Canis lupus familiaris: one gene and its partners. The protein of the gene in region 1 interacts with the protein of each later gene in a pairwise test. Links are inferred from orthologs where the notes say so. Each region holds a gene or a part of one and is shown in the gene's direction. Other genes may lie near its edges.

The links.
Region 2: the proteins of NTAQ1 (region 1) and CBY2 interact in binary tests that used the Homo sapiens proteins (3 or more experiments, as listed by UniProt). The two-hybrid records come from large-scale screens. The link is inferred for Canis lupus familiaris from reciprocal best matches to the Homo sapiens genes NTAQ1 and CBY2.
Region 3: the proteins of NTAQ1 (region 1) and MTUS2 interact in binary tests that used the Homo sapiens proteins (3 or more experiments, as listed by UniProt). The two-hybrid records come from large-scale screens. The link is inferred for Canis lupus familiaris from reciprocal best matches to the Homo sapiens genes NTAQ1 and MTUS2.
Region 4: the proteins of NTAQ1 (region 1) and VCP interact in binary tests that used the Homo sapiens proteins (3 or more experiments, as listed by UniProt). The two-hybrid records come from large-scale screens. The link is inferred for Canis lupus familiaris from reciprocal best matches to the Homo sapiens genes NTAQ1 and VCP.
Region 5: the proteins of NTAQ1 (region 1) and PRPS2 interact in binary tests that used the Homo sapiens proteins (3 or more experiments, as listed by UniProt). The two-hybrid records come from large-scale screens. The link is inferred for Canis lupus familiaris from reciprocal best matches to the Homo sapiens genes NTAQ1 and PRPS2.
Region 6: the proteins of NTAQ1 (region 1) and PYGM interact in binary tests that used the Homo sapiens proteins (3 or more experiments, as listed by UniProt). The two-hybrid records come from large-scale screens. The link is inferred for Canis lupus familiaris from reciprocal best matches to the Homo sapiens genes NTAQ1 and PYGM.
Region 7: the proteins of NTAQ1 (region 1) and NT5C1A interact in binary tests that used the Homo sapiens proteins (3 or more experiments, as listed by UniProt). The two-hybrid records come from large-scale screens. The link is inferred for Canis lupus familiaris from reciprocal best matches to the Homo sapiens genes NTAQ1 and NT5C1A.

The regions. Positions count from the first base shown.
Region 1 is NC_049234.1:22,155,355-22,159,533, forward strand, and holds the start of NTAQ1 (protein N-terminal glutamine amidohydrolase), read left to right. Parts: upstream 1-1,379; 5' UTR 1,380-1,471; coding exon 1,472-1,560; intron 1,561-4,179. UniProt on the Homo sapiens protein: Mediates the side-chain deamidation of N-terminal glutamine residues to glutamate, an important step in N-end rule pathway of protein degradation.
Region 2 is NC_049243.1:5,417,093-5,421,096, reverse strand, and holds the start of CBY2 (protein chibby homolog 2), read left to right. Parts: upstream 1-1,204; 5' UTR 1,205-1,288; coding exon 1,289-1,363; intron 1,364-1,673; coding exon 1,674-1,754; intron 1,755-2,357; exon of another isoform or gene 2,358-2,404; coding exon of another isoform or gene 2,405-2,458; intron 2,459-4,004.
Region 3 is NC_049246.1:10,425,575-10,428,592, reverse strand, and holds the end of MTUS2 (microtubule-associated tumor suppressor candidate 2), read left to right. Parts: intron 1-1,597; coding exon 1,598-1,811; 3' UTR 1,812-2,518; downstream 2,519-3,018. UniProt on the Homo sapiens protein: Binds microtubules. Together with MAPRE1 may target the microtubule depolymerase KIF2C to the plus-end of microtubules. May regulate the dynamics of microtubules at their growing distal tip.
Region 4 is NC_049232.1:51,932,994-51,935,647, reverse strand, and holds the end of VCP (transitional endoplasmic reticulum ATPase), read left to right. Parts: intron 1-1,156; coding exon 1,157-1,311; intron 1,312-1,462; coding exon 1,463-1,568; 3' UTR 1,569-2,154; downstream 2,155-2,654. UniProt on the Homo sapiens protein: Necessary for the fragmentation of Golgi stacks during mitosis and for their reassembly after mitosis. Involved in the formation of the transitional endoplasmic reticulum (tER).
Region 5 is NC_049260.1:9,248,135-9,252,360, forward strand, and holds the start of PRPS2 (ribose-phosphate pyrophosphokinase 2), read left to right. Parts: upstream 1-1,426; 5' UTR 1,427-1,517; coding exon 1,518-1,639; intron 1,640-4,226. UniProt on the Homo sapiens protein: Catalyzes the synthesis of phosphoribosylpyrophosphate (PRPP) that is essential for nucleotide synthesis.
Region 6 is NC_049239.1:52,911,184-52,914,683, forward strand, and holds part of PYGM (glycogen phosphorylase, muscle form), read left to right. Parts: intron 1-265; coding exon 266-367; intron 368-686; coding exon 687-834; intron 835-1,140; coding exon 1,141-1,199; intron 1,200-1,326; coding exon 1,327-1,468; intron 1,469-1,918; coding exon 1,919-2,126; intron 2,127-3,500. UniProt on the Homo sapiens protein: Allosteric enzyme that catalyzes the rate-limiting step in glycogen catabolism, the phosphorolytic cleavage of glycogen to produce glucose-1-phosphate, and plays a central role in maintaining cellular and organismal glucose homeostasis.
Region 7 is NC_049236.1:3,281,409-3,285,505, forward strand, and holds the start of NT5C1A (cytosolic 5'-nucleotidase 1A), read left to right. Parts: upstream 1-1,297; 5' UTR 1,298-1,335; coding exon 1,336-1,461; intron 1,462-4,097.

The DNA.
Region 1 (4,179 bases):
TAAGAGGGCTGTAGGAAGGTTATTGCCAAATTTGGGCTGTAAGGTCACAGAGGAACTGGGTTTGAACCTGTGGCTGGGGCAGACCCCACAGGATGTACTCAGGATCACACTCCCAACTCTTGTACTGCTCTAGAAACTGCAAGGAGCTTCTTCCTCCAGCATACTTTACTCAGAAGGCTTAACTTGGTGCCCGCTTTGAAGGAGAAATGCTCAAAGTAATTGCTATTTATCACAGAGCCTATGTCGAAGTGTGTTCAGAGCTGAGAGGCAATGCCTTGATAACTGACACAACGACATATGCTCAAAGTGTTTAGGATTTACATATGGGCTTTCGAACTCCTGACATTGGGAAAGCCTGACTGCAGATAGCCTATGAACAGACTAAGAATTTAAGTTTTTATCATGGGAAGTACCCTGATGAGTTATGCATGCTCATTACTAGTCTAAGACAATTCAGAAGGCTATTAAGTATAAAGTGAGAGTCCTTCATATCATTCATTCATCAAAGATAAATACCGTTTTAATAATTTGGGGTCTTTCCTTCCAGGCTGCTGGCAAATAAAAATATGATTAACACGAAATGAATGCCATGAGGACTCCTTTTAAACTTTTAAAAACTTTACCAAGAATCACTATATTTTTCTGGGTCAACGTACACAATTCTAATAAAAACTTGTCACAGCGCGGTGAGCTTCGGGGTGGCTGGCCCCGGACGTATTTGGAATTCGGTCCCCCCTGCCCCTGCGCTCCCGCGGCCTCTAGGAAAAAACTGCTAAAGCTCCGTTTTTTACATACAAGGTTCTCTCATTTGGCGTCTCTTCTGGTTCCTCCACGGCTGTTGGCAACCCCAGACCCGGGCTGGAAGAGGGCCTCCGACGCCTCCGGGAGATCCCCGAAGCGCCATTTAGGGTTGGGCGGTTGACCAACCCCACGCTCTGCCCCCACTCCTCCGAGCGACCTGCGGGTGACCTCTGCCCTCTCCACGCTGACCTCAGTCTCGCGGGGCACGCCCGGCCCCGCCCCAGCCGCCCAGCTCCGCCCCAGGCCCCGCCCCCAGGAATTACGTCATCCTCCTCGCCCCAGGCCCCGCCCACTGGAGACCCACGCCGTTCGCCGCCCTGGATCCGCCCACTTGGCCCGGCCTCCACGCTCCCGGAACCCGCTCGGCGCTTCCCTCCAGGCCCCGCCCACCGGAACCGCCGGAGCCCGCGCGGCCCCCGGCTCCGTCCACCCGGAACTGGCACCGCCCTCCCTGGCGGCGCGCGCCCGGAAGCTGCGTCGCTCGCTCCACCCAGGCTCCGCCCGCCGGGTCCCTGGCTCCACCGCCCGGGAGGGAACTGCACCCCCGCCTCAGGCTCCGCCCGGGAGGCCCGCGCCGCGCGCCGAACGCCGGCTCCTCCCCCGAAGCCTGCCCGCGGGGCTGGTGCAGTCGCTTCGCCTCAGGCCGTGCCCGGGCCCCAGCCAGCCCGCCATGGAGGGGGATGTCCCCGCCGCCGCCGCCGCCCGCTACCAGCCGGCCAGCCCCCCGCGGGACGCCTGCGTCTACAACAGCTGCTACTGGTGAGGGGGCGCGGGCGCAGCCCCCGGCATCCCGGCTCCCGCGGTCTCGGCGTCGCGGCCGGGCCCCGCCTCTTCCCGGCCCCTCCCTGGGGGCGCTCTGGGTCTCGTCCGGCGAGGTTCCCGCGTGGGGGCTGAGGGAGCGGGAATGGCAGCCCTCGGCCCTTGAGAGGAGCGCAGGCACGGGGCGGGGGCGGATTCCCAGGGGGTGGGCTCGGTGGTGCATTACTAATGCCCGAAGCCTTTCGCTTGGACTTTTGTCGGCAGATCTCAGTGCCTGGGGGCCAGGAAAGGGGAGTTGGAGGCGGAGGGTGGAGCGCAGAGAACCGTTGCGGATTATCCTGCTGAAGCCTTTGTGGTTTCCCCACTGATGTGAAAGGTCATTTTAATTTTAGGAAGAGAATGGGAGAGCGGAGATTTTGCAGTAACTTTCCAAGGTCATCGGCTAATAGCAGCCAGGAATCCAATTCAGGCCTTCTTGTACCAGAAACCATGAGCTTAACCACCATGTTGTCCTGATCGTGCCCATTGTATTTACATAGCACTTGCTGTATGCCACTTGTTTGTTTGTTTTTTTTAAGATCTTATTTATTCGGGGGGGGGGGCAGGCTCCCTGCGGGCCCGATGTGGGACTCGATGGATGGATCCCAGAACTCCCGGCAACAACCACTGAGCCACCCAGGTGCCCCCCCAAACACTTTTTTTTTTTTAATTTTTTAAAAAATTTTATTTATTTATGATAGTCACAGAGAGAGAGAGAGGCAGAGACACAGGCAGAGGGAGAAGCAGGCTCCATGCACCGGGACCCCGACGTGGGACTCAATCCCGGGTCTCCAGGATCCGCCCCGGGCCAAAGGCAGGCGCCAAACCGCTGCGCCACCCAGGGATCCCTTTTTTTTTTTTTTTTTAAAGATTTATTTATTTATTCATGATAGACATAGAGAGAGAGGCAGAGACATAGGCAGAGGGAGAAGCAGGCTCCATGCAGGGAGCCCGACGTGGGGCTTGATCCCGGAACTTCGGGATCGCGCCCTGGGCCAAAGGCAGGCACTAAACCGCTGAGCCACCCAGGGATCCCCCCAAACACTGTTTTGATTGGCTTATGTAAACCAATTCATTTGAGCGGGGGTAGGTGTTATTGTTACCCCCGTTTTAAAGATGAGAACATCGAAGCACAGAGGGTGCAACTAATTTGCATAAGGCCATCCTGTCTAGTAAGTGAAGAAATGGGGATTTACCTGCAGGGTTTGGCTCTGGAGTCCACACACTATCCCCTTGGCCTAGGCCACCTGTGTGACCAAATCACCACTCCTACCTCTGTCTTTTTCGCTCGTACACTTGAGTAATTAATGACTTCTTCCCCAACTTTCAGTTGCAAAAGAAACCTTAGGCCCATCTAAAACTACCTTTTCCTCCTTTAGCTGGCGGTCAAACCATGTCACCAATTTACATCTGTTCCGCTCTGACTGCATGTCAGGGCTAGTGTCAAGTGTTTCCATCCATGGCTCCGAGATAGGTTCTGTCATTTACCTCATTTTATTAACGAAAAGAATGAGCCACAGACAAGCCATGTCCAAGGTCACACGTGTAGCAAGAGGCAGGGCTGAAATTGGAACTGTAGTACAGGAGTCCATGATTCTTAAAGACTGTACTTTAGTACTGCCTTACCTCTCACCTAAATCCTATTAGTTTTTGTCCCTAGCACCCATTCATTATTTTACTTGTTCATCTGATGTTTATTAGGCATGTGGACTGTGTGATATTACAATTGTGGGCACTTGGGAGACAGCAGAAAATAGATTCCCTAGTTAAGATCTTATGGTTCTTAATATTTTGGTTCAGGGAAAGCAGGCAAAACCACGTAAAACCATGTTTGGTGTTAAGTGCTATGAAAAAATAAAGGTAAGGGATGGTGACTCACTTTTATAATGGATATTTAGGGAAGGCGTTGTTGGTAAAGTGGTATTTGAGCAGAGATCTGAAGAAAAAAAAACCGGTGGGAGCTTTGTGGATATTGGAGGAAAATCATCCCAGGCAGGGGAGCAGTGGTGCAAAGGCTCTGAGAACGAAGTGTGCAGGAGTATTCTAGGAACAAGGTGGCTCGTACAGCGAGAGTGCAGTGGTCTGCTGGAAGAATGGTCGGAATGGATATCTCTTCAATAGATGGCCTCCCTTAATTAAGTTCCTTCAGCTGTGGGCTGAGCCCTCCTCGGCTGTCAGGGGCCTGTTCCAGCCCTTCCTTATAGGACTCTGCCCAGATCTGTTTCCTATTCCCTCAGGTCCTAAACCTTAACTGGCTTCACACTGCTAAAAGTCGTTCTAAATTCAAATGAGCCATAGAATCACTTGGGAGCTTGTAAAGTGTGCAGATCTTAGGGTTCTACTCCAGAGAGTCTTGGTGTGTAAACAGTACAGTGGAGGAGTCTTACACTCGTCCATTGATCACGTTTTCAGGAATATAGGCATAAACAGTAAAGTCTGTCTCCTGAGCATATTCAGAGATCTGGTCACTTGTGTTTCTGCAATCTTATTTTGAGCCTGCCTTCTATGCCCTAACCCAGGGTTTCTCACCCATGGCTTTATTGACATGTGGAACGTGCTAATGTTGTGGAGGGCTGTTCT
Region 2 (4,004 bases), on another chromosome or scaffold:
CAGGTGCTTCTATGAGGTGCATCTATAAGGGAAAGCTGAACTGAGTTTTCCAGTGGTGTGAGAGTTAATCACTAGAAACCCTTGGAGAAACAGAAAACAGGCTTTGACAGGGATGTGGAAAAACTGGAACCTTTGTGAGCTGTTGATGGGAATGTAAAAGGATGGCACAGCAGCTACGGGAAAACAGTATGGAAATTCTTCAAAAAATTAAAAATAAAACTGTATATAATCCAGCAATCCCACTTCTGGGTATATATCCAAAAGAATTTAAAGCAGGATTTTATTATTCACAAGGAGTGCCCCCGAACACACCTGACTTTATGCTAATGAAGTGACCCTTGGTGGCCCCTAGATGGCTTCAGGATGGGCACTAGTTGCTAGAAGAATCAACTATGTGATTAGAGGTTGGGAACTTTCAAGTATTTCACCTCTCCACTTCTGGGAAATGGGGGATGGGGGGTGGGTTGGGCTGGAAATCTTTAATCACCAATGGCCAGTGATTTAATCAACCTCGACCAGGTAATGAAACCTCCATAAAAACCCTTAATAGGGTTAGGAGAGCTTCTGGGTTGGTGAACACATGGAGAAGCTGGGAGGATGGTATGACCTGTGAGGGTGTGGAAGCTCCATGTCCTTCTCCCCCTATACCTTGACTTAAGCATCTTCTATTTGGCTGTTTCTGAGCTGCATCTTTTATAACAAAAGTAATTGTAAGTAAGGTGTTTTCCTGAGTTCTGTTAGCTATCCTAGCAAATTACAGAGGTGCGGAGGGGTTTGTAGGACCCCCGCCAATTCATAGCTGGTCATTCAGAAATACTCGTGGCCTGAGAGTTGTGACTGGTGTCTAAAGTCTGGTGTAGGCAGTCTTGTGGGACTGAGGCCTTTAACTTAGGTGACCTGACACCCACTCCAAGTAGATTGTCTAAGAATTGAATTGAATTATAGGACATACAGTTGGCCTCAGAGAATTGGAGAATTGGTTGGTGTCAGAAAATATCTCAGACTCCGTGGCTTCTCTTGGTCTGAAATGAGTTCAGTTTGGATTTCTCCAAGTAGAAGATGCTAGCTCTAGAGAGAAGGTAGGGCTTACAGCCCAGCCAGGCAGTGGCGATATGAATAGTAGCAAAGATGACCAAATAGGGGGCTAATGTTTGGGTTATTGTGTGTCACACTGACCCTGACCAGCCAGGTAGACATAACCAGGGTGACTCTTCCTGTCAGGTGCCTCATTCCCACCTGTGATGCTCAGAGAGACCATGAGCCCTGAAAAACACCGTATTTTTTTGTGATGTCACCTCTGGAATGTTCTGAGTGTTTTGGTGACCAACTCCTACATAGGACCTATACCTGGCACCTAACATTGGTATGGCTTTTTACTTGAGATAGAAGTAATAACCTTAGAAAAGGTATTAGGTATGGGTATCTCTGCTCCAAAGACTTTTTGGAAGGTTTTTAACACCAACTATAAAATCTGTCTTAATTTCTGTCTAGAGATTGATAAGCATCTTTTCAGATACTATCTTCACATTGTTTCAGACTCAGATTTTCATAATGTACATAGTTGACAAGAGGGGATAAGTGAATAGAAAGTCATCTGTTTTTCAGATTGAGCAATTGAAGCTCAGAGGATGGGCTGGGAAGCAGATATCGTTTTATTTTCTCTTTTCCCACAGCACTCGAGGCCAAGTATTGCAAGAAAAAGAGATACCAGATCTGAAAGCCTAGAAATTCCAATCAATGTGGTTCTGCCTCAGGTAGGGATAATCACAGAAGGGTGCAACTTCCTTGTAACCGGAATAACCCTCCTCTTTCAAGACTGTAGCAAGATATTGTAGAATGAACAGGGTAGTCGGGACCTCTAGTTGCCAACTAGCTGTGTGCCAAGGGGAATTCACTTAGCTACTCTGGGTCTTCAGTTTGTCATCCCTCAAATGAGGAAGGTGGGTTCGGTGACCTGGTAAGACCTCTCAGCCCTCATAATGCTTACAGTTTCTATGACACTCTGAAGTAAGCCACATTCTTCCCAGACTTCAATGTTTTGGTGCTTGCTATTGTACAACCATTCCGGATTTCTGGGAGAGAATTAGAACTGAGACTTGGAACCAAATGCATATGACTGAATCCATGAGTAGAAAGCCCAGGACGTGGACCAAGAGGTACAGGGTGATTTGGAGGTGCCAAGGGAATTGAGGCCTGCTGGATACAAAGACAGAGTGGAAGGGGAACTCAGAAAGGAGGCCCGTAAACGGATGAAGTCTTGACAGTCTGGAGAGTCTCAGGTGTTGTCCTGCTAAGCAGCCGTTTCCTTGGTGGGGTTCTCCTGACTGGATTGTTTCTCCTGCTGCTATGTCACAAAGGGGCAGCCTTGCTTCTCTAGAGTCACCTAAGGCACTGTTGGAAGATCATGGCTGTGCAACCAGAGGGGCTGAAATGTAGGCTGGAGGAATCCAATGCAGAGGTAACTACCTGAAAGCGAGGTACAGGGTGTGTAGGAACAGGATCGAGTACCAGTGGGCATCCTATATATATACTTATTTATTTATAGTAACATATATTTAATATATAATTACATATATAATATATAACTACATAATTATATCTAGTACACATAACAAAATGATATATACATGTTTTCTAAAGCCGTATCTTAAGGATTTTGTGAAGAACAAGATGACAAAGAAGAACTCTGTCATTCTTTCAATAGGTGGAGATAATTGTAACAGTCTGGGCAAGTATATTCAGTAGGAGGGAAAGACAGGACAAAAGAACATTCTGGCTCTTTGTTTTCCCCTTATCCTTATAACTTTGTAGTGAGCAGCCACTTCATCAGTTTCAGCTCATGAAGCCTAGACTATAAGCTACTTTGTCCTGATCATTAGACAGGATGGCTTGCCCACAGGGTTCCTACAGCTCAAGGAACCTTGCTTTAGGTCTGATTCTTTCCACTGAAATGCCATGTAGTTCTGCTGGCCACTACTCCCCTGAGGGTGGGTGTTGTGCCTTTGGTTTGTTCACAGCCTCACTAAGGGACAGGAAGAGGGTGCCAACCTGAGGGTGAGGTTGGGGATAGGGGCAGGAATAGGATTTTTTTTTTAAGATTTTATTTATTCGTGAGAGAGAGAGAGAGAGAGGCAGAGATACAGACAATGGGAGAAGCAGGCTCCCCACAAGGAGCCTGATGTGGGTGGGACTCAGGGGCCCCCCGGGATCATGACCTGAGCCAAAGGCAGATTCTCAACCACTGAACCATCCAGGTGCCCCAGGAATAGGATTTGAAATAGTGGTCATGTGATAAAGAGATTGGAAAAAGTCTTCTGTCTATACCTAGTACAACTCTCCCCGCGTAGGTCCCAGAGATAGGCCAGCCTGAAGGAGGAGAGAAGGTGAACAGAACCTGGGGGGTGGTTTAAGAAGGCTCAAGCTTGTTCTGGGGCCATTCACTTCCTGCACTGCAGGACTTGGTGCTGCTGTTGTGGTTTTGGAGGGCACGGAGGGCACGGAATGTATACCCCTCATGGGTACACCTGCCAGGGAGACCCAAGTCATACACCAAGTTTCAGACACCTGCCAGGATGCTCTAGGCTGAAACTGTGAGGGAGGGGTGTGGGTGTCTATAAATTTAGATTATCTGGACTGTGCCACCACCAGGACTGTGAAGGGACCAGTGTACTCGTTAGACCTCCCCAAATGAAATTGTGCATGACTCAGGGGAAATTGACCTGGTTAACAAGGGGAGGAAAAATAGTGACTGAGCACTGGTTTGGTCATGTGGCAGGCACTGGGCAATGCTAGTGTGAGGTAGGGATTGTATAGGCATGGGAAACTTGAGCCCCAGCAGCCTCTCCAGTAATGGCAGAGCTAGATAGGGGGTTGAAAGCAGGCCAGTGTCCACTCTCTCCGCTACACCACAAGCTAGGCCTATGCCACCTGGTGGGGCCAGGTCACATCTTAGCTCTCTCTGTTCTCTTGCCTTTAGGAAATAGCGCCTCCTCTGTGGGCACCTT
Region 3 (3,018 bases), on another chromosome or scaffold:
ACTTCAATATTGTTGTGTCTCTGGAAATAGGGAGACACCCAAAGAGAGGGAGAGAGACCGGGAAAGTCTGGTCGATGGAGCAGTCAGAGCACACACAACATTAATTGATTAAGTTTGCGATCTTATACGGATGTAGTTTGTGGACCCCCAAAACGATTATAGTAGTAACATCAAAGATCACTGATCACAGACCAGCATAACAAACATAATAATAATGAAAAAGTTGGAAATATTGCAAAAATTACCAAAACGTGACGTGAAGATGTGAAGTAAGCAAATGCTGTTGGAAAATTGGCACCAGTAACCGTACTCTACTGAGGGCTGGCACAAACCTTCAGCCTATAAAAAATATCTGCAAAGTGCAGTAAAATGAAGCACAGTAAAATGAGGTGTGCCTGCACTTTGTCCATGAGGATAGAGCTCTCTCTGTGGGACCCTTGCCTGTCCCCTGACCCCTTACTGAACTGAACTCCTTCTTGGATCCATATATGTCACCCTGTGATGCACACGCACACTCACATACGTACTTGTGCTTCCTGTCACCCACAGGTGTACACAAGTGTGCATGCTCCCAGACTTGCACGATCATGCTCACTGGCATGCACACTCTTGTGTGCCCACCCCCTCACAGGTCACACACATATAGTTGCACACACTCACACATATACACACATACACACATTACCTCCGCAACTGAACTCGTGGTGCTGGCATTCATTCCCACCCCAGAGGCTCACAGGAGAGACTGTGCCAGGGCAGCAGGTCTGTCACCCACCCTGCTCAACCTGAGCCACCCCAGCCCATGCCTCCCCTGGAAATCACAAAGGCACCTGGCCCAAAGAGCAAGTCCAGGCTTTATCCAAGTGAGCTGGCTTCCTGGGCTGAGTCCGTGCAGCTACAAAATGCCTGTGTACTCATCCCTGTCAGTTCCTCATTTATACAAAATGCAACAAAGCAAGCAACTCACACTTGATGACAGCGCAGGATGCATCGATCCCTTTTTCATTTAGCATCCCTTATCAACAACCATTAATTGAGCATCTGTTGTGTGCCAGACGCCAGGCTGGATGCTGGGGATTCAAGGAAAGCGGCTCTGGCCCCTGTCCTCAAGGGCTCTCGGTCCAGCAGGCAGGCAGATGCACAGATCAGCATGTGCAGCAGGGGAAGACGCTTGCTCTCACGGGGACCCGAGCCAGGGCCAGGGAGGCCAGGAGGCATCCTGGGGCTGACGGCACTGTCCCTGTGCTGTCCTTATGGTTGATGGCCACTATCTCTGAGCCTCCTGTGCGGCACACGCACACTAGCTCCCCACTTCCCTCCTTTCCTCTTTTGCCTTCAGCATTTGCTCTGTCCGGGGGACAGCTAGGGCCTCCCCTGATGGGGCAGAGGGACTGTGAGGGAACGGATGTGTCGGCGTGAAGCATGGAAATCACACTTCAGCCCATGGGGCTTGGTCTCTGTGGTCCCGTTGGTCCCCGTGCTCCCGCAGGCGGCTGCAGCCTCCTCCCTTGCCCCGACCCCCCTGGCCCAGTGAATCTCAAATTCATTGCCTTCCAGCAGAATCGCTGCTTGATTGTTTCCTGTTCTCCCCATGCAGACAACTGTCGGAGGAAAATGCCAACCTGCAGGAATATGTGGAGAAAGAAACCCAGGAGAAGAAGAGATTGAGCCGAACCAACGAAGAGCTGCTTTGGAAGCTCCAAACTGGGGACCCAACCAGCCCGGTTAAACTCTCGCCCACGTCCCCCGTCTACCGTGGCTCCTCCTCGGGGCCCTCCTCGCCCGCCAGAGTCAGCGCGACGCCCAGATGACCCACCCAGCGCTTCCACCCGGACGGACGGACGGAGTCTTGACCGGGCTGGCCCTGCGCGCATGCTCAGTAGCTGCATAGCTGCATCCTAAGCAAAGTCCTCTTCTGATCCTCATATAAGACTGTCCTGGTGTTGGCACTTAGGAAAGTGTAAACGGTAGTGTCTGATGTGCAAACGTTTGACCGTAGTTAGAGCCAAAAGAAAGGAAGAAACTCCAGTTGTTCTTGAGCAATGAACTTTCACTGCAGAATTTCAGGTTCGTTACAAATAGCTCAGTTTTGAATATACATTGAATAATCCTTGTGTACTGCACCGATATGTGTGTATATTTAGATATACGTATATACACATGCAGCGGTTCTGAATTGCATTTTTTATAACATGAAGTGCTGACATATTTTGGTGAAGGTCAGCAGTTTTCTAACTTGTGCCTAAGAATTATTGGGATATGAAAATGCATTTCTATCTAGCTTCCCAGGAATATTTCTACCCAAAATAGAAAAAGGAAAAAAAAAAAAAAGATAGAGAAGAAGCGCCTTTCAACCTACCACCAAGTGGTACTCTAACACAAACACCAGCGATTTGTGAACAGTAACTGCCTTTGGAACAGTCAGCTTCTTAGTCAACATGATGTGAGGTCACTATTATTCCATTCGCAAGTTTTACTTATTAATACTCCTGTCGTGAGTGCCTAAGGGATAGCAGTGGGAAATCCTGAGGGGTTTAGCGGTTTGCAGATGCTTCTCACGACAGTGAATCATCTACAGTCTTGTAAACACAAGATTTGCTTTTTTCCTAAGTGACATCTTAGAATCCATCATTAAGCTACTACACCCTTGGGAAAATATGGAAGAACATAACCTTCTGGAGTGAGGGTGAGGATGACCTTGGAGCTGGCCAAGACCATCCGCGCTCTGTCCTCCAGAAGGAAAACTGCTGGTAGGATCTGTATCTTGATTGAGCACAGAGTAGGAAGGCATCCTCTGGCATCCCATGTGGTGTGCTCCAATGTGATTCTATAAATTCTATAAATCAAAATATGACCCTCAGGCCCCCACTTCATAGACAACCATCCCCCCTCATCAGTTTGGTCCTATAACTCAACCCCATAACTGTACATTGAGATGGCTCAGGGGTTCTTGCAGGGGCTTCCAGAAAACTGACCCTTCCATCCGGGGGATCACTTTGCAGCTGTGCTCGATCATCA
Region 4 (2,654 bases), on another chromosome or scaffold:
ATCTGTATCATCTTGCATGTTTTCCGGTGTATTTTGGCACCATGTTAAAAAATGAATAAATGAATAAATGAATGAATGACTTTATCTTTTGTAGGAGTTCTGAGACATTCCTTCTCCCTCCCATAAAAGCTTAGAACCCATTGATAACACTTAATCCTACGGAGCAATCTCATAAGTCATAGCAATTGAAGTGGCTTTTTTTTTTAATTAAAAAAATTTTTTTTAAATTGAAGTTCAAAAAAAAAAAAAAAAAAAAAAAAAAAAATAAATTGAAGTTCAGTTTGCCAACATACAACACCTAATGCTCATCCTGTCAAGTGCCCTTCTCCGTGCCCGTCCCCTCACCCATCCCCCCACCCATCCCCCCACCGCCTCCCCTTCCATTACCCCTTGTTCGTTTCCCAGAGTTAGAAGTCTCTCATGTTTTGTCACCTTCTCTAATTTTTTCCTGGAGAGGCTTCTTAGTGGAAGAGATGGGGTTTGAGCTGATTTATGAAGAGAGACTATAAGGGCTAAGGAAATAAGCAGCTCAAATAACTGGCTCAGGAAATAGGATTGTGGGAATTGGGAAAAACCTGGGTAGATTTAAGAGGGCATATGTTACTAGAGGTGAAGCCACTAGGTAAGGTGTAATCCGGGTTTGGTAAGCGCTAAAAGTTATTTTATCTTTTTAAAATTTAGGTGGTTAAAAAAAAAATAAATAAAATAAAATAAAATTTAGGTGGTTTAGTTTATCTTGTTTTAGAAACTTTATTTTTAAAATTTAAGTTTATTGATATGATTCACAGATAGTAAAATTCACCCTTTTAGGTATAGTGCCTCCATGTATCTTGACAAATGCATTTAAGTTCTATAACTATTACCACAGTTCAGATAAATTTCTGTCATCCCAGAAAGTTCCCTTATGCTACTTTAGTCACCTTTTTTTCCACCCTAAGCCCTTGGCAACCACTAATGTGATTTTGTCCATACAGTTTGGCCTTTTCCATAATGCATTGACAGGTTTTTAAACATAGTGCACTGACTTAGTTTTAGGAAGATTGGCCTTGCAACTTATTCAGGTTGGTTTAGAGAGACAGGGATGGGGGCAGGAAGGCCAGGGGAAGAATCCAAGCTGGACTTTAGCCCTGGTGGTCTGTGTTTACCAACCTTATAGGAGGTAGAAGAAGATGATCCAGTGCCTGAGATCCGCCGAGATCACTTTGAGGAAGCCATGCGCTTTGCCCGCCGTTCTGTCAGTGACAATGACATTCGGAAGTATGAGATGTTTGCTCAGACCCTTCAGCAGAGTCGGGGCTTTGGCAGCTTCAGGTAATCACGTTATAGTGGGCAATACTTAAGTTGTCTTGGGTAACTGTACAGCCAAGGTTGTGGGAGTCCTAAGGAGGCTGGGGTTAGTTGTGAAAATCCTACATAGGCCCTATCCTAACTCTCTTTTTTGGCTCTGCTTTTGTGCATGCAGATTCCCTTCAGGAAACCAGGGTGGAGCTGGCCCCAGTCAGGGCAGTGGAGGCGGCACAGGTGGCAGTGTATACACAGAAGACAATGACGATGACCTGTATGGCTAAGTGGTGGTGGCCAGCATGCAGCGAGCTGGCCTGGTTGGACCTTGTTCCCTGAGGGTGGGGGCGCTTGCCCAGGAGGGACCAGGGGTGTGCCCATGGCCTGCTCCATTCCTCAGTCTGAACAGTTCAGCTACAGTCAGATTCTGGACAGGGGTTTCTGTTGCAAAAAAAAAAAAACAAAAACAAAAAAAACAAAAACAAAACAAAAGAGATAAAATAAAAGCGATTTTCATTTGGGAGGCGGAGAGTGAATTACCAACAGGGAATTGGGCCTTGGGCCTACCCATTTCTGTTGTAGTTTGGGGCAGTGCAGGAGACCTGTGTGGGTGTGAACCAAGGCACCACCGCCACTCCCCACAATAAAGCATCTGCACTTCGCTCAGTGCTACCCAAGCCCTCCCTTCTTCCCTCTACCCAACCTGGGCAGTAGGACGAAGGGCCACAGTTGCTGGGTGTTTATATAGAGAGTAGGTTGATTTTATTTTACATGCTTTTGAGTTAATGTTGGAAAACTAATCACAAGCAGTTTCTAAACCAAAAATGACATGTTGTAAAAGGACAATAAACGTTGGGTCAAAATGGAGCCTGAGTTCTGGCCCCTGTGCCTGCTTCTTTTCCTGGGAAGGGCCTTGGGCTACGCCTTACTGTCAAGGCACTCTTCAAATGTGAAGTACTGAAAGCAGGATTGCACCCTCTTCCCCACCTGATTAACAGTGGTATGATCTGCTGCCTAGTGCCTTGCCCCATGACTGCATGGGAGGTAGTGCAGCCTGCCCTGATGGAGCTCTAGTTGTGGAGAATATGGTATTCCTCACCCGTGTTTGACGTGGATGGTAAAGCTAGGCCTACAGAGCTCTCTTTTCCTGACCAAGGACTGAATTGGGGTGCCCTCCCAAAATAAGGGTTGTAGAAAGATAGAACTTCTGAGGTGGGTGTTCTTTTCATGCATCTAAAAGTCCTAAACATTTATGCTCTGGTTGAGGATCACTTATAATTATGTCCACCTTTACTTTATGTAATTTGTATTATATAAAAAAAAAAAAAAAAAAAACAGTTTTTTTCTAATATGAAATTCTAGTATTGGATGTG
Region 5 (4,226 bases), on another chromosome or scaffold:
CATTAAATTGGCCAGCATCACTAACACGCTGGTCCTCCGTTCCCACGTAATACATTCCTTTCCCCTACATTTGATTTGTGCACAAGGGTTGGCTCTAGGACTGCATTTGCTTGAGAAAACCTTTTTTTTTTTTTTTTTTTGCTCTGGCCTGCCCGGAGAGAGGGGAAGGCAGCCCGCTGCAGGGGTATGGAGAGCTGTGACTGGGGACCATCTGGTGGGAGTTGGGGCGCTGGGGGTGAGGTCCCTAGGGTCAGGCGTTTGAGAACCCAAAAGGCAGGAAGTTGCAAAGCTGGCCGGATGGGTACCTACAAATGAGGAATATGGAGGAGGCTTGGTTTGATCCAATTTACCGTCATTAAGGAGAGCAACCTTGCCCCTCCATCTGTGGTCAGGGCTCAGATGGCCACTGGCATCCTGGCTTTTTCAAGGACAAAGGGTAATCCTGTAGTTCAGGCATCAGATAATTTTGACTCAAGACTAGATAATAAATAATTTAGGCTTTGTGGGCTACAAAGCAAAATGGAGAGATTATTATGTAGGTACTTCCATAACGAGAGAAAACACATGTTTGCAACATTTTTATTGACAAAACATAATAATTTGGTACAACTTTTTGCAGTACACAGCCACTAATGAGAGGAAAGGGTTTTGGGGTTTTTGTGTTTGTTTTTTGAAGGGGATTTTTTTTTTCTCAATTGGGTTGCGAACGTCGTACAGCTGTGATCACGCAGATTGCGAAGGTTCTTGTGTCAAAGCAATGCTTAGCTCTCCGGTAGGAACAGGCAGCGCCGGGCACCTGGCCCGCGGGCCGCAGTTTTGCAGCCCCCCGTAGCTGCACACCGGTCGTCTGCAATGGGTTTGGGGTATTCCGGGTCGAGGGGTCGCTTGCGGTTGCCGGGCACGTCGGTCGCCTCCTCCTGCACCCTCCCTCGGTGTCCAATTAGTCCGGCACCTCCAGGCAGGGCAGAAAGGTCAAGAACGGGGTCAAGTGCTCCCGGTCTGCCGCCCGTCCTACCGCAGCTCCGCCCCCTCTAGCTCCGCCCCGCTCCCGTCCCGCCGCGGCGCTTTCCCGCTCCTCCGCCCCGCCCCTCGAGCCCCGCCCCGACTCCGCCCCCTCCAGCCCCGCCCCTCTCCGGTCCCGCCGCGGCGCTTTCCCGCTCCTCCGCCCCGCCCCTCCAGCCCCGCCCCGACTCCGCCCCCTCCAGCCCCGCCCCGACTCCGCCCCCTCCAGCCCCGCCCCTCTTCGGTCCCGCCGCGGCGCCTTCCCGCTCCTGCGCCCCGCCCCTCGAGTCCCGCCCCGACTCCACCCCCTCCAGCCCCGCCCCCTCCAGCCCCGCCCCTCTCCGGTCCCGCCGCGGCGCCTTCCCGCTCCACCGCCCCGCCCCCTCGAGCCCCGCCCCGACTCCGCCCCCTCCAGCTCCGCCCCCTCCAGCTCCTTTCCCCTGCGCTCCTCCTTTGGTCGACAGCCGCGCTTTCCCGCTCGCGTCGCAGCCTCCGGTGCCACCGCCGCCTCCGCCATGCCCAACATCGTGCTCTTCAGCGGTAGCTCGCACCAGGACCTGTCCCAGCGCGTGGCCGACCGGCTGGGCCTGGAACTGGGCAAGGTGGTCACTAAGAAGTTCAGCAACCAGGAGACCAGGTGGGGGGCCGCGCCGGCGGCCGGGCCGGGCCGGGGAGGGCACTGGGCGCGCTGCCGCGGGGCCGGGCGGGGACCGTCGCCCCGCTGCACCTCGCCACCTCCCCCCCCGGGGACCACTCCGCGGCCGCCCGCTCCCCCTTCCGGGGCGGGACGCTCACGACGCGGCCTCCGCGCCACCGCTGCGGCGCCCGGGAGACGCGGAGGAGGGCGGCCCCTGGCCCGGAAGGGCGACCTCGGGGCGCCCGCAGCGTCGGGGCGAGGTGGGCGCCGCCGGCGGGAACCGCTTGGGTGCAGGGCACGCGGCTAGGGACGGCCCTGGGCGTGCGAGTCCGGTTTCCCGGTCCCCTCCGGGCGGGTCCCAAGCCCCGGGCGTGCGACCGACGGCTCCGCCCACGTCCCCAGCCCGGGCCGCGCGCCGGATTCACCTGGGGGCCGTTTAAAAAGCCGCTTCCCCTCCCTGCCCCGGAGCTTCTGCTCTGCGGGCGGGGGCGGGGGCCTTTTCCAAGCCCCCGGGTGAGTCCCCAGCAGCCGGGGTGCAGCCCGCGGGCTTACCCGCAGGGCGTGTTGGTGCGGAGCCTTTACGGAGCGTGAGAGCGCCCGGGCGCACGTGCTGCTTCCCGGGGCTTCCTCGAATTTTTCTGCCTCAAAGCTGATGGCTTTCATCATCGTCGTGGTTGTGCGCCTCGGCGGGGTCCAGGGCAAGGCCGTGGCCCAGCGTGACTGCCACCCGGGTCTCGGTGCAGCAGCCGCGGTCGCCAGGCCGGCGGCCCGCCTCACAAGCGGGACGGGCTCCGGTTTCCACCTGCCTGAGTCCACAAAGCTCTGAACCAGTTTCAAGTAGCTCCTATTTAGCTCCTTCCCGAAGGATCCAGCGCGCCCGCGGTTACCGATCACTTCTCGCTCTGGCACAGGTCCAGGGCTACCACCACTTTCCACAAGCGGAGCGAGCTGCCAAAACGACAGCAAAACCCATCCATGCTTCCCACTGTTTCAGAAATTAACTTGAGACGGATCGCAGACGTACATGTGAAGCCTGGAACTAAACATTTCCAGAAGAAAACGAGGGAGAGGGGATCCCTGGGTGGCTCAGCGGTTTAGCGCCGCCTTCGGCCCAGGGCGTGATCCCGGGGTCCTGGGATCGAGTCCCACGTCGGGCTCCCTGCATGGAGCCTGCTTCTCCCTCTGCCTGAGTCTCTGCCTCTCTCTCTCTGCATCTCTCATGAATAAACAAATAAAAATCTTTAAAAAAAAAGAAAAGAAAAAACGAGGGAGAAGACCTTGAGGACTTTTGGAGTAGACAGAAATTTTTTAGACGCTGAGGAGTTCATGAATATTAATACATCTGGGGAGGATGGTGTTTTAGAGTCAGCTTTATAGGCTATGTGCAGCCCTTCCTCCAGGTGGGAAATCACCACACAGACAGTCCTGTTGATAAGGCCAGCAAGGAGAGATCGCTCGTGAATGAGTAACAGGTGGTAGATGTGCGGGCGGCCCTTGCCAAGATTTCCGCTTTGCAGGAAGGGTTTAATACAGAAGTCTGGGAGGATGGCGTGGAGGGCTCTGGAAAAGGCTACTATAGCTAGGTGTCAATGTTGTTGTATCTGGCCAGCCCTATTCAAGCTTCAGCAGCTAGACGGAGAATGGGATACGAGGTTTTGTTCACCAGGTGGCATCCTGTAACTAGAGGAGAAATTTCTGGGTGAAGTAGATTTTGAAAGCAAGTATGTTGGTCTTCCCTGTTTCCCCAGGGCAGTGCAGTCCTTTGGTGCTCCAGGAGCAGAGTTAATCCAGCTTAGAGATGTTACTGTTGCATTTCTGCCCAAGATACTGTATGTACTGTTGGCTGGAACTCATTGAGACATTGAAATACAATTGCGTGTTTGTTTTAACTCTGTTTTATTTGGTTTTGAGTATTTTATAGCCACCACCTGATAACTAGAAATCCTGAGGTCTCAAAAACCATTCAGCATGAAGTCTGGCAATTGCTTGTCACAGACTAACAATAGTTAGTACAGTATATGTTTTTTTGTTTTTTAACAATTCACTCTTCAAAGATTTTATTTATTTAGAGTGTGCATGTGAAGGCACATGTGGGCAGGGGGAGGGGCAGAGGGAGAAAGAATCACAGGCAGACCCAGAGCTGATCTAGAGCCCATTGTGGGGCTTAATTCCAGGACCCTGAGGTCATAACCTGAGCCAAAATCAAGCGTTGGATGCTTAACTGACTGAGCTACCTCGTGCCCTTGTTTTGTTTTTTAAAATATTTTATTTATTTATTCATGAGAGAGACACAGGAAGAGAGAGAGGCAGAGACACAGGCAGAGGGAGAAGCAGGCTCCATGCGGGGAGCCCCATGTGGGACTTGATCCCAGGTCTCCAGGATCACACCCTGGGCCAGAGGCAGGCGCGCTAAACCCCTGAGCCACCCAGGGATCCCAATGAGATTATAATTGTATACACTGAACTATCACGGTCTGCTCCTAATCACGCCCTAGACTGAAGGCGGTGCTAAACCACTGAGCCACCCAGGCTGCCCTGTTTTGTTTTTTAAGTAATCTCTATACCTCAGGTAGGGCTCAAACTCACA
Region 6 (3,500 bases), on another chromosome or scaffold:
CATGGATTGTGAGCAGGGCCTCAAGGTCATTGCATGTCTGAGGAGAAGGCCAGGAGAAAGGCCCCCTGGGGTCAGGGCGGGTCAGCCATCAGAGTCCCAGGTCTGAAGGGAAAATGCAGTGCCCCGCACACACTGCATCCCTGCTTGGAGGCTGGAAAAGGAGGGGGTGTCTGCAGGGACTGGGCTTGGCTGAGCTGGAAAGGGACCCCTCCGGGAGGGAGAACCAAAAAGGGGCACAGGCTTGACTGTGAGCCATCTCCCACAGCGCATTGGGGAGGACTACATCTCAGACCTGGACCAGCTGCGCAAACTGCTCTCCTTCGTGGATGACGAAGCCTTTATCCGGGATGTGGCCAAAGTGAAGCAGGTAGGCAGTGCTATGACCTGGGACACTTGTGCCAGGGTGGGAAGGAGTGGGCCAGAGGTGCTGGGTGCCCGGGTCGGGAATGGCCGAGGGAGCTTGACTCTCCCTCAGCCTTAGGCCCCTGATGGAGTTGCCTGGAGTCCATGGTGAGAGCGCATCATTTGACTCCACCGGAAGAGTGCTAACATTGATTAGCAATGTCTGCTCTGGGCCCAGCGTGGAGAAAGGTGGCAAGTGAACCTCCCGTCGTCTACCTTTCTGGGCAAGAAATGGCACTGAGGCTAAGTCCTGTTGGTGAGCTCTTCCCCATCCCCACCTTCAGGAAAACAAGTTAAAGTTCGCTGCCTACCTAGAGAGGGAATACAAAGTCCATATCAACCCCAACTCGCTCTTCGACATCCAGGTGAAGCGAATTCATGAATATAAACGCCAGCTCCTCAACTGCCTCCACATCATCACCCTGTACAATCGTGAGTGGCGGGGTTTCACTCTGGCTCTCAGGGCTCCCCTCTGTACACCTGTTGGTGTACTACATACTTCCAATTCAGTGTCTCTCTTTTGGCTTTGGGCCAACTCTTGGGACATAGATTATCTCCATTTCATAGACGGGCAAATGGAGGCTCAGAGAGGGGGAAATGAGAGATTGGAGGTTACATAGCCAGTGGCTGTCCAAATCAGGTCTATTATCTCTCAGCCAGGGCCCTGGCTGGATGCATGCTGTCAGGAGGTATTGCCAAGAGGGAAAACCTGGCCCACTGTTCTGTGTTTCTCCACAGGCATCAAGCAGGAACCCAATAGGTTTGTCGTGCCCCGAACTGTGATGATTGGAGGGAAGGTGAGAAGTCAGGCCACAGACTGTGGCTCTGGTCCTTTGGCATCCAGGTTGAGGGTGGCCTGGCTGGGTTGCAGGATAGGGGCAGGATGCTGGGCTGTGCAGCTGACTCCAGACTGTGCCCCCACAGGCTGCCCCTGGATACCACATGGCCAAGATGATCATCAAACTCATCACAGCCATTGGGGATGTGGTTAACCACGACCCAGTGGTAGGAGACCGCCTCCGTGTGATCTTCCTGGAGAACTACCGAGTCTCGCTGGCAGAGAAAGGTGGGGTGCCACCAGAGGGAGGCTCTGAGGAGTTCAGCCAGGAAGGAATATCTGTCACCTGTTCCTTAGCATACTGGCACTTGGAAGAAAAATCTGGGAGAGGACAATCCTCAAATCACAAGGATGTCCCCCTCTGATGGTGTAATTTCAGGCAGTACAGAATGAAATTATAGAGAAGATTGAAATTAGTGGGAAGATTTGCCCTTCAAATCACACACACACAGTGGGGTGGAGGTGGGGAGAGAGTCCAGGTTAGATTTCAGGTGTTCAAGATCATTAAGCAGTTGGGGGAGGCTGGTGGTGAGATGGAGATTCAGTTGGTTACTTCTGGAGGGTGAGGGTGGAGGGGGCTCTGAATCTGCTATACCTATGGCCAGCCTAACTCCACAGTCCCTAGCTGGGGTGGGACTGTACCCGGAACTGAGCTTGTACCCTGTGGCTGCCCCACAGTGATCCCAGCTGCTGACCTCTCCGAGCAGATCTCCACAGCAGGCACGGAGGCCTCAGGCACTGGCAACATGAAGTTCATGCTCAATGGAGCTCTGACCATTGGCACCATGGACGGAGCCAATGTAGAGATGGCAGAGGAGGCGGGAGAAGAAAACTTCTTCATCTTCGGCATGCGGGTAGAGGACGTGGAAAAGCTTGACCAGAGAGGGTATGGGGGTCAAGGGCTCCAAAGTTCACAGTCCACGGGCAGGAGGCCCTGAGGTGTGGCTACTAGAGGGCAGGGCTCCCTGGAAAGGCTGGCCCAGGCTGCACAGCGTGTTAGTTTTGGCCACGAGGATTCTGGAGAACTTGGGAGGAGGGACTTATAACACAGAAGGCTAGTGGCAGGGGAAAAGAAGACACTTGGAACTGAAGGAAAAAGAAGAAATTATATCAATTCTAGGACATATTATTTCTGGCATTTCTGGCAGCTGTGGCAAAAAGAGAACTAGGAGTACAGTAAGAACAGCTGTGCTTATGGTCAGACGTGCAGTTCTTCAAAGTAGATATTTTCCTGGCATTACATTTTTTTAATTAAGATTTTATTATTTATTCATGAGAGACACACAGAGAAAGAGGCAGAGACACAGGCAGAGGGAGAAGCAGGCTCCATGCAGGGAGCCTGATGGGGGACTCGATCCCAGGACTCCAGGATCACGCCCTGGGCCGAAGGCAGATGCTCAACTGCTGAGCCCCCCCAAGTGTCCCAATATTTTTTTAAAAATAATTTTCCGCCTTGCTTGTAGTTCTCTCTTTTTTTTTTTTTAAAGACTTTTATTTATTTATTCATTAGAGACAGACAGACAGAGAGACAGAGAGAGAGAGGCAGAGACACAGGCAGAGGGAGAAGCAGGCTCCATGCAGGGAGTGTGACGTGGGACTTAATCCTGGATCTCCAGGATCTTATCCTGGGCTGAAGGCGGCGCTAAACAGCTGAGCCACCCAGGCTGCCCCATCCCAATATTTCTTAAAATTTATTTTAAAATATATTTTTTCCTTCTCATGAAAGCAATACGTGCTTCCTAATTAGAAAAATCCCAAATAACAAAATAAGTCATTCATAATCTCATCACCCATTTTTAAAGCCACAGCCCTTTTTCTACGAATTTACGTGTACATGTGTACATATATAGAAGTTGGGAATAATGCACATACAATTTTGAGGTCTTAACACAACTTTGGATCCTGATGTCATTAAATGGCCTTTAAAATATTTAACATGTTTGTATAGGGTTCTATCGTAATGGACATACTATAACTTATTTAAGCAGTTCCCTGGTGTTGGACCTTATGGTTGATTTCTGCTGTTTGTCAGTGTAAATATCACTGTGATGACCATCCTTTTATATCTACGTCCACATCTTTATTTCCTTTAGTTGATTATTAGAGGGGATATTTCTGCGCCCCAAAAAGTATGAATTTTTTTTTTTTTAAGCATGAGTTCTTAAGGCTCTTGATGCATGTTGCCAAATGCTTTCCAGAAAGTTGGTACCAGTTTACACTCCCACCTACTGCTTCTGAGAGCTGGCATTAAATATTGAAA
Region 7 (4,097 bases), on another chromosome or scaffold:
CTCTTGCAGGGCGTCTCTGCTGCCCTCTGCACATCTTTTCCCATCTTTTTCTGCTGATCAGCTCATTCTGCTCACAGAGTGTCTCCCCAATCTTAGCCATATGGTGCCCATCGCTGCAGCCTGCGAAGGCTCATCCAGGTCTGTGTGACCAACTCACATCGCCAAGGGGCAGGCACACTAGAGAGAGTTGGGGGCCATCCATGGAAACAATCTATCGAATCTGGAGAAGGACAAGTCTAAACACACTTACCCCAATCCTAAAAGTTTTTATTGTTTCCCCCTTCCTCCCACACGAGGTTTGGTTGGTTTCCCCCACCCCAGGACATGGTGGAGGCTGGGCCTATGCCTCCATTCTGTACCCCCTTCCAGCCACATGCCCTCCAGTATGTTCTGCTGCTCCCGTACACCTGTGCCGACCTCGAGGCTCCCGCAGAGATGCCCCTTCTGCTTCCTGATCTATGCCTCGGTGGCATTAGTGGCTGCACCCCGGGCTCCGCACCAGGAGGGCACAGGGATGGTGGTCCAACAGGCTTTGCTTCCCAAGCCCCTTTCCTACCCTCCCTCTCTAAGCCGCTTCAGCTTCAGAACCGCCCGAGCTCTGCAGGTGGAACCTGTGAGCGCGAGCCCCCTACTGGCCGTCAAGGGGCCAGCAAGAACGTGGGTTCAGAGTCCCCGGGTGTCTCCCCGGTAAGGGTCCCCCGCCAGGCCGAGGGGCCCCGGTGTCGCCACTGACTTCAAACGTCCTTCCGCCTTGGTGGGGAGTAGCTGCCAGCTGGGCCCGCTGTGGTGCGGCGGGCTGGGCGCCGGGTCCTGCTCGAGGACGGAGCTGTCCACCCGCCACCCTCTCCCTCCGCAGGATGGACTAGGGTCGGCCATCGGATTCCCAGGGACTTAGCTTTGGGCGGGTGGGGGGAGGCTAAGGTTTCCATTTTCCCCTTGGAGGATCACCATCCTGGGAAGAAAAGTTGTCAGGCCTCTCCTCTGTCGGTGCCCCTGATCCCCGAAATCCCGAATCCGCCGCAGCCCACAAGCCTGCTCCGGGGCCCCTCCTCCTGGGAGCCCGACACGCCAAAGCCTCCCTAGTGCCCGCCCCCCGCCCCGCATTCACTTGGGGAGTCAGCTGCCCCGCAGGGACATCCAGCGGCAGCAGCACGCCCGCAGCGGGGAGGGCGAGTTTGGCGAGCCCCGGCCCCCGCCCCCCCGCGGCCCGCGCGCGCACCCTCCCCGCCGCGGCCCGCCCCCTTCCCACGCCCGGGACGCGCCTCCTGCAGCAGCGCAGCCCCGCCAGCGCCGCGTCCCCGCCGCCGCTCCCGCCCGCCCGGTGGCCTCCGGAGCATGGAACCCGGGGAGCCCCGGGCGCCCCGCGAGCCCGGCCCGGGGGCAGAGACCGCGGCGGCCCCGGGCTGGGAGGAGAGCAAGACTTTCTACGACAACCTCGCGCCCAAGAAGAAACCCAAATCGGTAACAGCAGGGCCTGGGGACGGAGGAGGGCAGGGGAGGGGGCTCCGCGGGAGGGGCGGCAGTCCCCGGAGGGGCCCGAGGCAGCGCCCGGGGGGGACGCGGCTCCTCCGCCCCAGAATGTGCCGGGCCTTTGGCGCCGGCTCGCGTTTATTTTGGGAGCTGCGCGCCGGTGTCTTCTTGTCCCCGGGGCTCGGGTTCCCCGCCAGGGCCCCCTCCCCCACGCCGTCCTCGGCCCGGCTCCTGCGCGAGCGGGCGGCCGGGGCGCGCCCACTGCACTTGGCGGCGGAGCGGGTGCGCGGCCCGGGCTCGGGTAACCGACTCTGGAAACCCGGCCCCTCGCGGGGCGCTCAGGTGCCCCCACTGGGCTTCGGGCTCCGGACCCGGCGCCTGCGTTCGGGCTTCTGGCTCAAGGCCCTGCGCTCCGGCTCCGGCTGCTGCGCCGCCTGCGTCCTCAGGGAAGGAGCGGCGCTGGGCTCTGCGCCACAGCCCGGGCCTCCGCGCCCATCGCAGGGCGCATCAGCGCCCCCGGGCCCCCCGGCCGTCTCAGCCCTGGGAGACCCACACAGAGGCGAGAGCTCCTCTTGCCATCGGTCAGATCCCTGATGTCCCGGCTGTCCCTGGGCCTTGCGCATTCCGAGCTCTCCGAGCTTGGGAAGGGGACTGAGCAGGAGGTTGGCCCAGAGGCATCCTCTAGACGGTTCCCGCCTGACCTTAAAGCATCCTGCTGCTTCCCTCCAAGGGCCCTTCCCCAGGAAGGGGGCAACAGTCACTCCACAGTCATTCCCTGCAGCATCTCTAGGCTCTGCTCAGCAGTGGGAACTGGGAGATGAATTTGGTTGAGTCCCTGCCTCAGGAGCTCACGGGGGCTGGGGGAGACCGGGACATGGTGAGCGCTCAAAGCAAACACCCTACATGCAGCGGAGGGAGCAAACAAGAGTGAGTGACTGCCACTGAGGAAGGCTCTGCAGACCTAGCCTTTGAGCTCCTAGCCTTTGAGCTCACCGTGAAGCCTGGGTATGCAGCATTTCCCAGGCAGACAGGGAAACAAGCCCCTAAAGCCTTGGGGCTGACTTTGAACCTGAGTAGGAGAATGCAGGATCTTTGGAAGACACATGGGAGGGATGCCAGAGATCCCACACAAGGCCTTGAATGCCATACTAAGGAGCCTAGGTGTTCAATGAGGTTAGGGGTTTTAAAACGAGTTTCCACTAGGGCCCCATGTTTCTGGAGGTCTGAACACTTATGGATCCAATTTATTTTCCTTTTTCTTTAAACTACCCCCTAAACAATTAAAAACGTGTAATAAAACTCAATTCACTCTAATGCATTAGATGGACATCTTAGCACCTTCGATTGATTACACCAGTATACTAATTTATACTGCAGGTTGATTAGGTGTTTTTGTTGTTTTTAGTAAACTTCAGATTAAAGCTTTTCCTATAAACTGTTTACTAGAAGTTTATCTTGAGATTGCTGGCAATTATTGTTGCTGAGTACCTTGAGGCCCGTAGTTTAAAACAAAGCAAAAATTTTTTTACCACTTGCAACCACTTATTGGTGTGACTCAGGACTTTCTCAATACTGTGTGCACACACCAACCAACACCGGAACAGATTGACTAGACAATGAAGTTTAAGTCTGCACGGGCAGCCTAACCCCCAAGTTTCAAATTTATTACTTATACAACCGTGCTGTTTCCATTGGTTGACAAAATAAACATAAGTAAATAACAAATAAGTAAATAAAATTTTTTGTATGAATGTATGAATGAACTAGTAACATACATTTATGCTAAGAAACTATAGCAATATCTAATTTACATATTGGGGTTCTCCCAGGAGTCCATTGAAAGAAAAAGTCAACCTGCTTTTTAAAAAGGAAGAAAACCATTAGTCCCATTTCATTCGAGCAAGATCGCTCTGGGGCCCCGTAAGGGAGGGATGGGAGAGTGAGTCTGGCAGCAGGCAGACCAATGAGGAGGCTGGTCTCTGCCTGAGGAGGAAGTTTGACTAGTGTCCTGGCCGTGGCCCAGGAGATGGACCCTGGGGCTGGGGTGGTGAGTGGAGCTCACCAATGCATCTCCATCCCAAGTAGGGTGGAACCAGGGAGCTCAGGCCTAGTTGTCAGCCATGACCCCTGAGGCCTCATGGTCCTCCCAGCCCCCACCCCTTCCTGCGGTAACCCCTCCTCCCATAGGCTATTTTGGGGCCTTAGACCTCTTGGGCCCCATTAGAGCTTATTCTCATTCCCAGGAGCCTGAGTGGAATATTTCAGCCCTGAAGGCCTGTAGGAGCCTCTCACCTCAAGGGGTCAGACATCTCCTCCGTTCAGACCTATCTTGTCCCTCTCTCCTCCAGCAGCTCTTCTCCCATAAGACTTTTTAGAAATAACAGCTTTTGGCTGCCTTCCTCTCTTGGACCTGACAGGAGGAGAATCATGTTGGCCTACATGAGAGCTGGCTCTCCTCCATTACCGCCCCCCCCCACCGGACCCCCAGCCCTGGGGAAAGGCGGAGAATTGCCAGGACCCTAGCTCCCTGGAGCCCACTGTTCCCAGGCTGAGTCCCTGCTCTAGGAGAAGGGTCCCCCGACCCAATTCCCACTCTGGAATCCAGATTCTTTCTGTGTTCTGGAGAA